2 linked regions of the Xenopus tropicalis genome follow. The protein of the gene in region 1 interacts with the protein of each later gene in a pairwise test. Links are inferred from orthologs where the notes say so. Each region holds a gene or a part of one and is shown in the gene's direction. Other genes may lie near its edges.

What was found.
Region 2: the proteins of atf4 (region 1) and ccdc106 interact in binary tests that used the Homo sapiens proteins (3 or more experiments, as listed by UniProt). The link is inferred for Xenopus tropicalis from reciprocal best matches to the Homo sapiens genes ATF4 and CCDC106.

Annotation. Positions count from the first base shown.
Region 1 is NC_030680.2:121,049,499-121,053,555, forward strand, and holds atf4 (cyclic AMP-dependent transcription factor ATF-4), read left to right. Parts: upstream 1-1,233; 5' UTR 1,234-1,487; intron 1,488-2,555; 5' UTR 2,556-2,668; coding exon 2,669-2,855; intron 2,856-3,079; coding exon 3,080-3,903; 3' UTR 3,904-3,993; downstream 3,994-4,057. UniProt on the Homo sapiens protein: Transcription factor that binds the cAMP response element (CRE) (consensus: 5'-GTGACGT[AC][AG]-3') and displays two biological functions, as regulator of metabolic and redox processes under normal cellular conditions, and as master transcription factor during integrated stress response (ISR).
Region 2 is NC_030683.2:104,010,885-104,015,172, forward strand, and holds the start of ccdc106 (coiled-coil domain-containing protein 106), read left to right. Parts: upstream 1-1,434; 5' UTR 1,435-2,503; intron 2,504-3,096; exon of another isoform or gene 3,097-3,221; 5' UTR 3,222-3,265; coding exon 3,266-3,293; intron 3,294-3,655; coding exon 3,656-3,763; intron 3,764-4,288. UniProt on the Homo sapiens protein: Promotes the degradation of p53/TP53 protein and inhibits its transactivity.

The DNA of each region.
Region 1 (4,057 bases):
TTAAAACACCAAATGGCTCCCACTTAATTTGTAATGTTACAGGGGCTGACTTTACAACGAACATGTGGGCTCAGGAATGCTCCAACAACAGATGCTCTTTATAGTGTATACACTTTACTTCAGCGAAGCTACAAAACGAGCAGGAAGAGACAAATATGGCAGCGCCAGGACACGCTCCCAAGTTCCCATCAGCGATTCTCCTCACATTCCAGCGCCGGCGCCCCGCCCATCCGCCTCACTCTGGTGCAGCAGCTTTGCGTGCCCACTGCGTGATTCAGAGGGCTCATTCGCTTTCAGCCAATAGCGCGGCGTGTAGGGATTGGGCGCTGCCTGGGCCAACCAATCAACGGCAGCTGTACACGCGTTGGCTTCGTGATATGAAAGCGTCTCTGGGCGGATTCACCATTTGGTGGCAGGGCGGGCAGAGTGGGGGGGGATAATGTGGGAGTGGGACGTGGGTTTGTTTCCATAACAGTGGGGAGGGGCAATGCCAGGAACACGCGTGACACACCAAATGAATTAATTAAAACTAGCGCGCCCTTTTCGTTTATGTCTATAATGCTTAATTAGCCAATATAAATAAAGTGAAAAAGTGGTGTCAGGAGTTTTATTTCTTGGTTACTTCGGGGGAACGCCATAATATTTGCCCCAAGTGCTTATTATCCGTATTGGTGGTATTTACCCCTTGCCTCTTTCATAGACTGTGGCAAAGCAGGGGGTGTTGATAAAATGTTATATTTAACGTATAATAAAAATCTATCAGGCCTGTTCGTCTGTCTATCGCCAGTCACTCAAACATGGATTATTATACTAATGACCGAAATGGTTTTCATTTGTATCGGGCGACTGACACTACTTTCTACGTCGGTGACACTGACACATTGTCCTCTTTGAAGTACAATGTCTGGGTCTTGCCCTGGCCTGGCGTACGCAGAAATTCGTACAAGAGCACTACAGTGTATCAAACAATGAACTAAAATATTGCCTTCGTTTACTCTAATAAACACCACGCACACATTTATTCCGCGATGAATCTTATTCTGTTAGAACCCTATTGATCCATTTATAATTGCATTACACAGTATAGTTCCTGGAGCGGAGGCACACGTTGCCGTCAGATCACATGTCAGAGCGACGCTACAAAAGAAGAGACTACAGAGCGGACGGATACACGGGGCGGAACCACGAGTCTATATAAAGGGGCGGTAAATCGCCCGCCACGTCAGTCTGCAGCTTGGAATGAAAGAGGGAACGTAGTTTGCTGTCGCTGGGTCTTTTTTGTTAACTAAATACTAAGGTTTGAGGACGCGACGCTTCTGCTGTAGCAGGTTCCAACAGTGATTTCTTCAGTCCGGCGCCGCAATAACCAGCGGACAGCCATGGCGCTATAGCGGCAGCACAGGCCTGCGGCTCCCCTCTCCCCCGGCCATAGCGAGGCAGCAGCTCCCAGCGGCGCCCGCAGCACCAGGCAACGGCACAGCCATGGCGTAAGTATCCCTACTGGGTCATGTACTACATGGCGAGGTGTTAAGTGTGTGTGTGTGGGGGGTGGGAAATTGCTTGAAATGCAGGAGTATTAATATAAAACGGGGCAGGAAGGAATGTCTGGGGTAATGTAGCGGTAGATCGAACGTAAATGTTCTTATGTGTCTTGCCATGTGGCTCTTGTCCTTGGCAGACTCGACTCTGGCGCCCCCTAGGGTACGATGTATGTACAGCAGGTAGACAATAGCTATCAGCCATATTGTGCGGCTGCTGGAGTGACAATTATCAGTATATACATCTCATTCATTAGGGCCACAAAGGGACCTTTGGGTTTTCTTACAAATGCAGATTTCCTGAACTTGCATCTTGTGTTTACGGTTTAAATTATTGAAGCTATTAACTTGCTGCTTTTGTAACCTGGGTGGTGTCCATAGGGTTAAACGAATTCCACTAGGAATTGTAGCTATTGCCTTAATCAGTTTGTTGAATGGGGGACTCTCTAAAATGTTTCAATGTCACAGTGGGTTTGATCTCCTTTAGTGGTATTTCTAGCTCCTGTGTGGCTTGGGAATTCTTAATGGGTGTGCTTTGAAATGAGACTCTCCCCAGGCAGATTTAGACTTGCTCTCTAGAGACAGCTGTTTCCCTTGTATGCATAGGGGAATCTCTCATAACAGCGCTCCAGATGGCATTGAAAATTAGTAATGTATTTTCAGTTAGTGTTGTGCTTAACAATAAAATGTAGCATTCAACAATGATCTTATGTGAGGAAGGTGACTTCATTTGTTTAGGACATGGTTTGGATGGTTTAGCAATTTGTATTTAAAGGGGTTTGATGCTAAAATGGCATCCATACCAGGGTGGAGAACAAACCAGATGGTTAACTTGTGAAATGGCTGCTGATCAGCTTTGTGAATCACCGGGTGTGGGTGGGGCCGGAGGGAAGGTGCCCATATTTGGTCATGAGGGAAGAGAAGACTAGAATATAATACTGCTCTTGTGAAGAAGCATTGTGAAGAACAAGCATGTTTTTCTTAATAATGTTCTTAATATTTGCTTTTATTATGCAGGCTTCTCCAGGCATCCCACAGCAGCATTGCTGTATACGAGGAAGAAAGCTCAAAATTGTCATCACCAGTCGAATTCGTGATCCTACAGAAAGATGAGTTTGTTAAGCGACGAGATGCTGTTGGGGGACCTTCTGTCCCCCTTCAACCAGTCGTTTTTGGCGGCTGAAAAGAGTTTGGGTCTCTTGGAGGATGAATTTGAGGTGCCCGGGTACCTCCTATCGCAAGGGTTCTCCAGCGACAAGGCTAAGGATGGCGTCTCTGACCTGCTGCCTTATGTTGAATCTTTAGGCAGTTTTCATGGTAAGTAAACTGGCTTTCAAAGGGTTCAGTCTCTCTTCTGTATAATAGAATATTCATGTATTTTGCTTGAAGCACCTCTTTGCAGCCACATTACTGGAATAGATTTGTTAAAATATTTGTTCAATGGCTAATGGGCATTTTAAGTGGAAAGATTGTAAAACTTAGCTTATGAGATGATAGAAATTTGTTGCTTTGCTTTCTGAGCCTTCTTTGTTCTTTATTAGGGGACGCCTTCTCCGGCATGGATTGGATGGTGGAAAAGATGGATCTGAAGGAATTTGATTTAGACTCCCTGTTTGGGTTGGAAGATCTGGAATCCACTATCTCACCAGATGAGCTAACATCCACGTTGGAAGACTCATGTGATTTCCTAGAGGACCCACCTCATGCAGCAGTGATTGGCCACTTTGTGCCATCACCTGAACCTGTCTCTCTTCCAGAGTCCCCACTGGATGCTGATCAGGTTGCCCCATTTAGCCCAGATTTGACAGCCTCTCTCTCCTCTAGCCCAGACCATTCCTTCATCTTGGATGTAGGTAGTGAGGTAGATGTTGCAGAGGATGAGAAAAAGTCCTCTGCAACATATACTCTAGAGATACTTAAATGTGAGAAGGAAGATTCCTCTGATAATGATAGTGGAATCAGCATGAGCCCCTCCTACTTGGAATCCCCTCAGCAGAGTCCATCAACTGTAGAATGCTATAGTAGTCCTCAGTCCTCCCTAGAGTCCCCAGTCTCTGAGAGACCCAAACCTTATGATCTTCCCTGTAAGGATAGAGATGTGATGGCGAAGGTGAAAGTAGCTGGAGGGCAGCCCAGAGTAGACAAGAAGAAAAAGAAAATGGAGCAGAACAAAACAGCAGCCACTCGCTACAGACAGAAGAAAAGAGCAGAGCAAGAGTTAATATCTGGAGAGTGCAGAGAACTAGAGGGAAAAAATGATACCCTTAGAGAAAAAGTAGATTCGTTAACAAAAGAGATCCAGTATTTGAAAGATCTGATAGCTGAAGTCCGACAGGCCAAAAGCAAACGAGCAAAAAGTTCTTGAATAGGGAACAAAGCTGGAGCGTGTGTATGTTGTATATAGGTCACTTAAGAATGTTGTGGAATGTCTACTTAATAAATTATTTTGTAGTTACTTTTTTGTCGGATTTCTTTATTTGTGCAGTATAAATTAGCTTGGGTTTTCAAAATGAACTAAG
Region 2 (4,288 bases), on another chromosome or scaffold:
CAAACAGTAATACACACTACAGGACTAATGCAAAAATATTGGTCCAGATGTTAGTCTTACTGTGAGGTTTGATATAATATCCTATATTCTTATATCGATATAATCTTATATTTATATATGCATGTATTTTTCTAACTTTGATACACTTTGATGCTTAGCATATCATACTCCATTTTAGAAATGTATCTCCATTTTGTAACAGCAACCAGCAAGGCTTGAACATCCCATAATAGTTGTTTTTCCCAAATAGTACTCTTGCACAGCTTGCACCTTACAAAATATGAGCCTTGAAAAACAACTTAATGTTATCTATGCACTGACACCTTTTCTACTCCTTGTGTCCTCCTTGTCCCGTATTAGCCATCCTTGAAGGCCATCTCTGAAGATAATGAAATAGGCCATCTTTGTTTCAAAGCTAATGTTACAATGATTTCTTTGTATTTGCACGTACACAAGGGGTATAAGAACTATGAGCACGTAAGAATAAACTGGACAAGTTTGAACTTCCATTGGAGTTGTGTCGTTCTTGTCCCTGTATACGTCTTTGTCCTGGCAGGAGGTCTCCCATGGATTACTAAATTTACAGTCTGTGGTCAGGAACCCTTACACTTACACCAGTGACCATCCTCAGGGAAGCAAACTCACAAGCTGCGTTTTGGCAGTTATGGTAGTGCACCTCCTAAAATGTATATGTATAATTCCAAAAGAGGACCAGCACTACTTTTAATTCTAATTGTAATTATTTATTTGTGTATATGCACATATATATATATAACCCTGGTTTTGTTGCCAGCTTTCATGGAAAAAAATACTGCCTTCTTATTAGTTATCTTCTGATACTGCCCATAATATTGACAACAAGCATCCGTTTTTCCAATTTTGAATATTTATTGAAGTTCTCCATTAAACAGAACAGAAGAATAAACAAGCAAGATTTAAAGCTGTTTATCATTTGTCTTAGACATTCTAAAGCATTAAAAGATATGGAAAATTTAAAGGAAAGGAAACCCACACAAGCATGGGGCGAATATATCTGTATTCAGGAGTCTGAAGATTTTAGCTGAGTCTTATTTCAGTGGTTAAACATGTAAATTTAATAGTTGACTCTGCTGTCTTAAGGTTGGCTACAGGTAACCCCATGAATTTTATAATTGCTAAAAATATGTTGAGGGTTTTTTTACATACTTGCTAGTCTTTTGCACCAAGTATGAGGTTCTACACTTGGGGGCAAATGTGAGTTTAGAGCTTAATACATAAAAACTCACCCTTATTTTATTTATTTCTATGGGATTTTTAGAAGTGTATCAATGGTTGAACTCTAACTTTCACTAAATGATAAATATGTTTCCAAAAATTCCCATAGAAATTAATAGAAAGTGGGTTTTTCTGTGGTAAGCTCTAATCTCACATTTTGATAAATCTGCCCCTAGGTCTATATTTGTGCCTGAGTGTGATGTTATTTGGCACACAGGAAGTAAAGGCACAAACCGACCATCTCTCACTTCTGGCATTACAGAGCACCGTAGGGGGTTTGGTAGAGTAGCTACTGTGTGAAGCTGACCAGACATGGACATTGTTGCAGAATGTTGTCAGCGTGTGTTTGGGCCTTTTATTTAAGTGGCTTGGCTTGCTACAGGGTGACTGTACCTTTCTGATCCAATGACTTCACTCTTACAGGGCAAATGATTCTTCTTTTTTATTCTGGGACAGACACATGGACTGTGGCAGTTGCTGGTGATTCAGTGTTGTTTTTCATGCAGATCGTACAAGACCATGAGACAATCATAAGTTCTAGAATCAGGTTTGAAACCATACCTGGCTGCAGCTCAACCTCTATATTACCCCCCCCCTCCCCCCAATAACCCATTGCTCCCTCCCTGTTCCCACTCCTTGTTCTGTAGCAAAGGCTAGAGGATTCTTTTGTCCAAAGGAAAGGGGGGCCCACAACCTAAATGGTCTTTATTTAAACTAAGAGTTTTTTTGAAGGGGCTCCCTTTCAGCCTGGCTGGCTGCAGAATCACATTGTGTGAGCCTGTTAAGGCTGTTAGATACAAACAGTAGCTTGATGTCCATGTTCTCCTGAGAGGTTGTACGGATATATAATAAGAATTTCCAGGTTCTGGTGGGTGAGATTTTTGCTGTTGCCCTTGCCATCATTTTCCTGCTGGAGCAGAGCAGCATTGTGGTACCCAGGCTTATCCTGCAGCTTCCTTACATAGAGGGCAAAGCACCCTGGCAAGATCTGCCTGCTGTAGAGCTGCCTGTCAGCTGCTGGTTCCCAGAGCCAAACGGAGAAGTAACACGGAACATAATTTCCCCTCCGGTGCTGAATTGCTGAAGGAGACACAGAACGAAATGTGGGGGGAAGGGAAAGAAGCCATTTTAATTGCATTATCTCATCTGATCGCTGTGCTTAATTTCCCACTTCCTAGGCTTCCGCTCTGATGTTACATGGAAAACTAGTTATATGCTGGATTCCTCTACAACATCGCTGGCTCATCGGGTGAGTTCCTGTGTGGCATCAGATCAGATGCTGAGAAATAACAGTGTTGTAGTAATATTATTATTACTGCCTCTTAGGATGATTTGGTGCTGTTTCAGAAATGAAGGCAATCCAGATCTTTCCTTCATATGAAGAAGTGGCATGACAAAAATAATTGTACATCAATTATATTTGATCTCTTAAACTCCTGCTAACTTTATGTAGTTATGTGTGGCAGTGACAGCTGCCTTTTAAGAGGGGTTACTTTAGAGGTATATATATGGGGCAACATTCATATTGGTGCCCTGCAGAGCAGCAATTTTATGCAGTGTTGCTTTGGGCCCCCATAAATTCAACCAGGGGTGTAACCACAATGACAGAAGGCCAGAATTGTAAAGAGCCTGATCGGAATTGGTTTTGGGCATGAGGGTTTAAAAGAATAAAAACACAATTCTAAGAAAAACCCCACTTATGGCTCTTGTTGAACCTAGTTATATACTGCCATATATATTGCCATTTTGGTGAAATTGTATCATTTTAATTCCAAGCATTCCTACCTTTTTTATGTGCCCTTAGTGATGTTACACTGACTTGCACCAAAATCAGCATTTAATTGCACAATGTTGAATTGCATCTACGTTACTGCTACAGAGTAAGCATGGTCTCTTGGCATCTGAAACTGCTTAGTATGTGCTTTTTATTCCTTGTAGTTTTTAATCTGATCCAGGCAAAATTGCAGGTGACTCACTTTCTTTGAACTACACTGATACCGAGAATTAACCAATGGCTGTTAACAATCACCGGAGACGAAGTAAGTAGCGTCAGAAAATGCAAATATCAAGAGTTCCAATCATGGAACTGAATGGCACTCACTGAGGCTAATGTACTATTAATGGACAGTGCTGTACCAGTGCATCAACTCATAGCAATCATTCACCACTTGGGCCTTAAATAACAAAAAAAGTAACTAATTACTGCAGACAGAATAAGGAATATATACCTGTGATTAATTGCAATGGGTGACTGCATAGGTAAATAGGCCCAGTGTTAGTAAATGTGTCTTACTGTGTAAATCTCTTTTAGATAATACCCATATGAAACATCACCACTGATATTTTAAAAATAGAATTACAGGTATCTGCAATTCTCATAGATTACTGACTTTTATTACAGCCAAAAAGGGAGGTGAGACTTACGATAGCTCAATCCCTTTTGAAGAGAATCTGCGCAGAGAATGTCTATCTTTATACTGTCTCGGTTCCCAGCAGAATAACTCAGAAGGTAAGCGATGTCTAGCAGTGCCCTACTTTATGTGTGATTAGCTTCTGTAATATCCTAAGTACTTGATGTTGCTCATTTCAAATAAGTCAAATCAATAGAGAGATCCAATCAAAGCCCCAGCTCATTACTATCAAAGAGAATCCCATAGCAAGAAGCAGGGGATTTGTCTGTTAGAACACTGGAGCTGCGGCTTTGTCTGCCCCATGTTTAATTGGTCTAGGGCTTGCATTAAAAGAAGTGGTGGATCCATAGGGGACTGCCACATTTGAGAACTACTGTTCTAGAATCCCCTTGTTTGAGCCTATAGAGCAAGGAGACATGGTGGCTAGTGCTGCTGCTTTGCAGTGCTGGGGTCATACATTTGATTCTGGGTGTTGTTTGTGTGTATTTTATTCCCATATTCCAAAACATACAGACATGTTAGTTGGCTGTAAACTGAGCATAGCTGGTGCATAGAAGGGCCCTTAGACTGCTTAGCAGTTGCCAGACTGGCAATCTGTGGATTCTAGGAAATGTTAGAGAGGC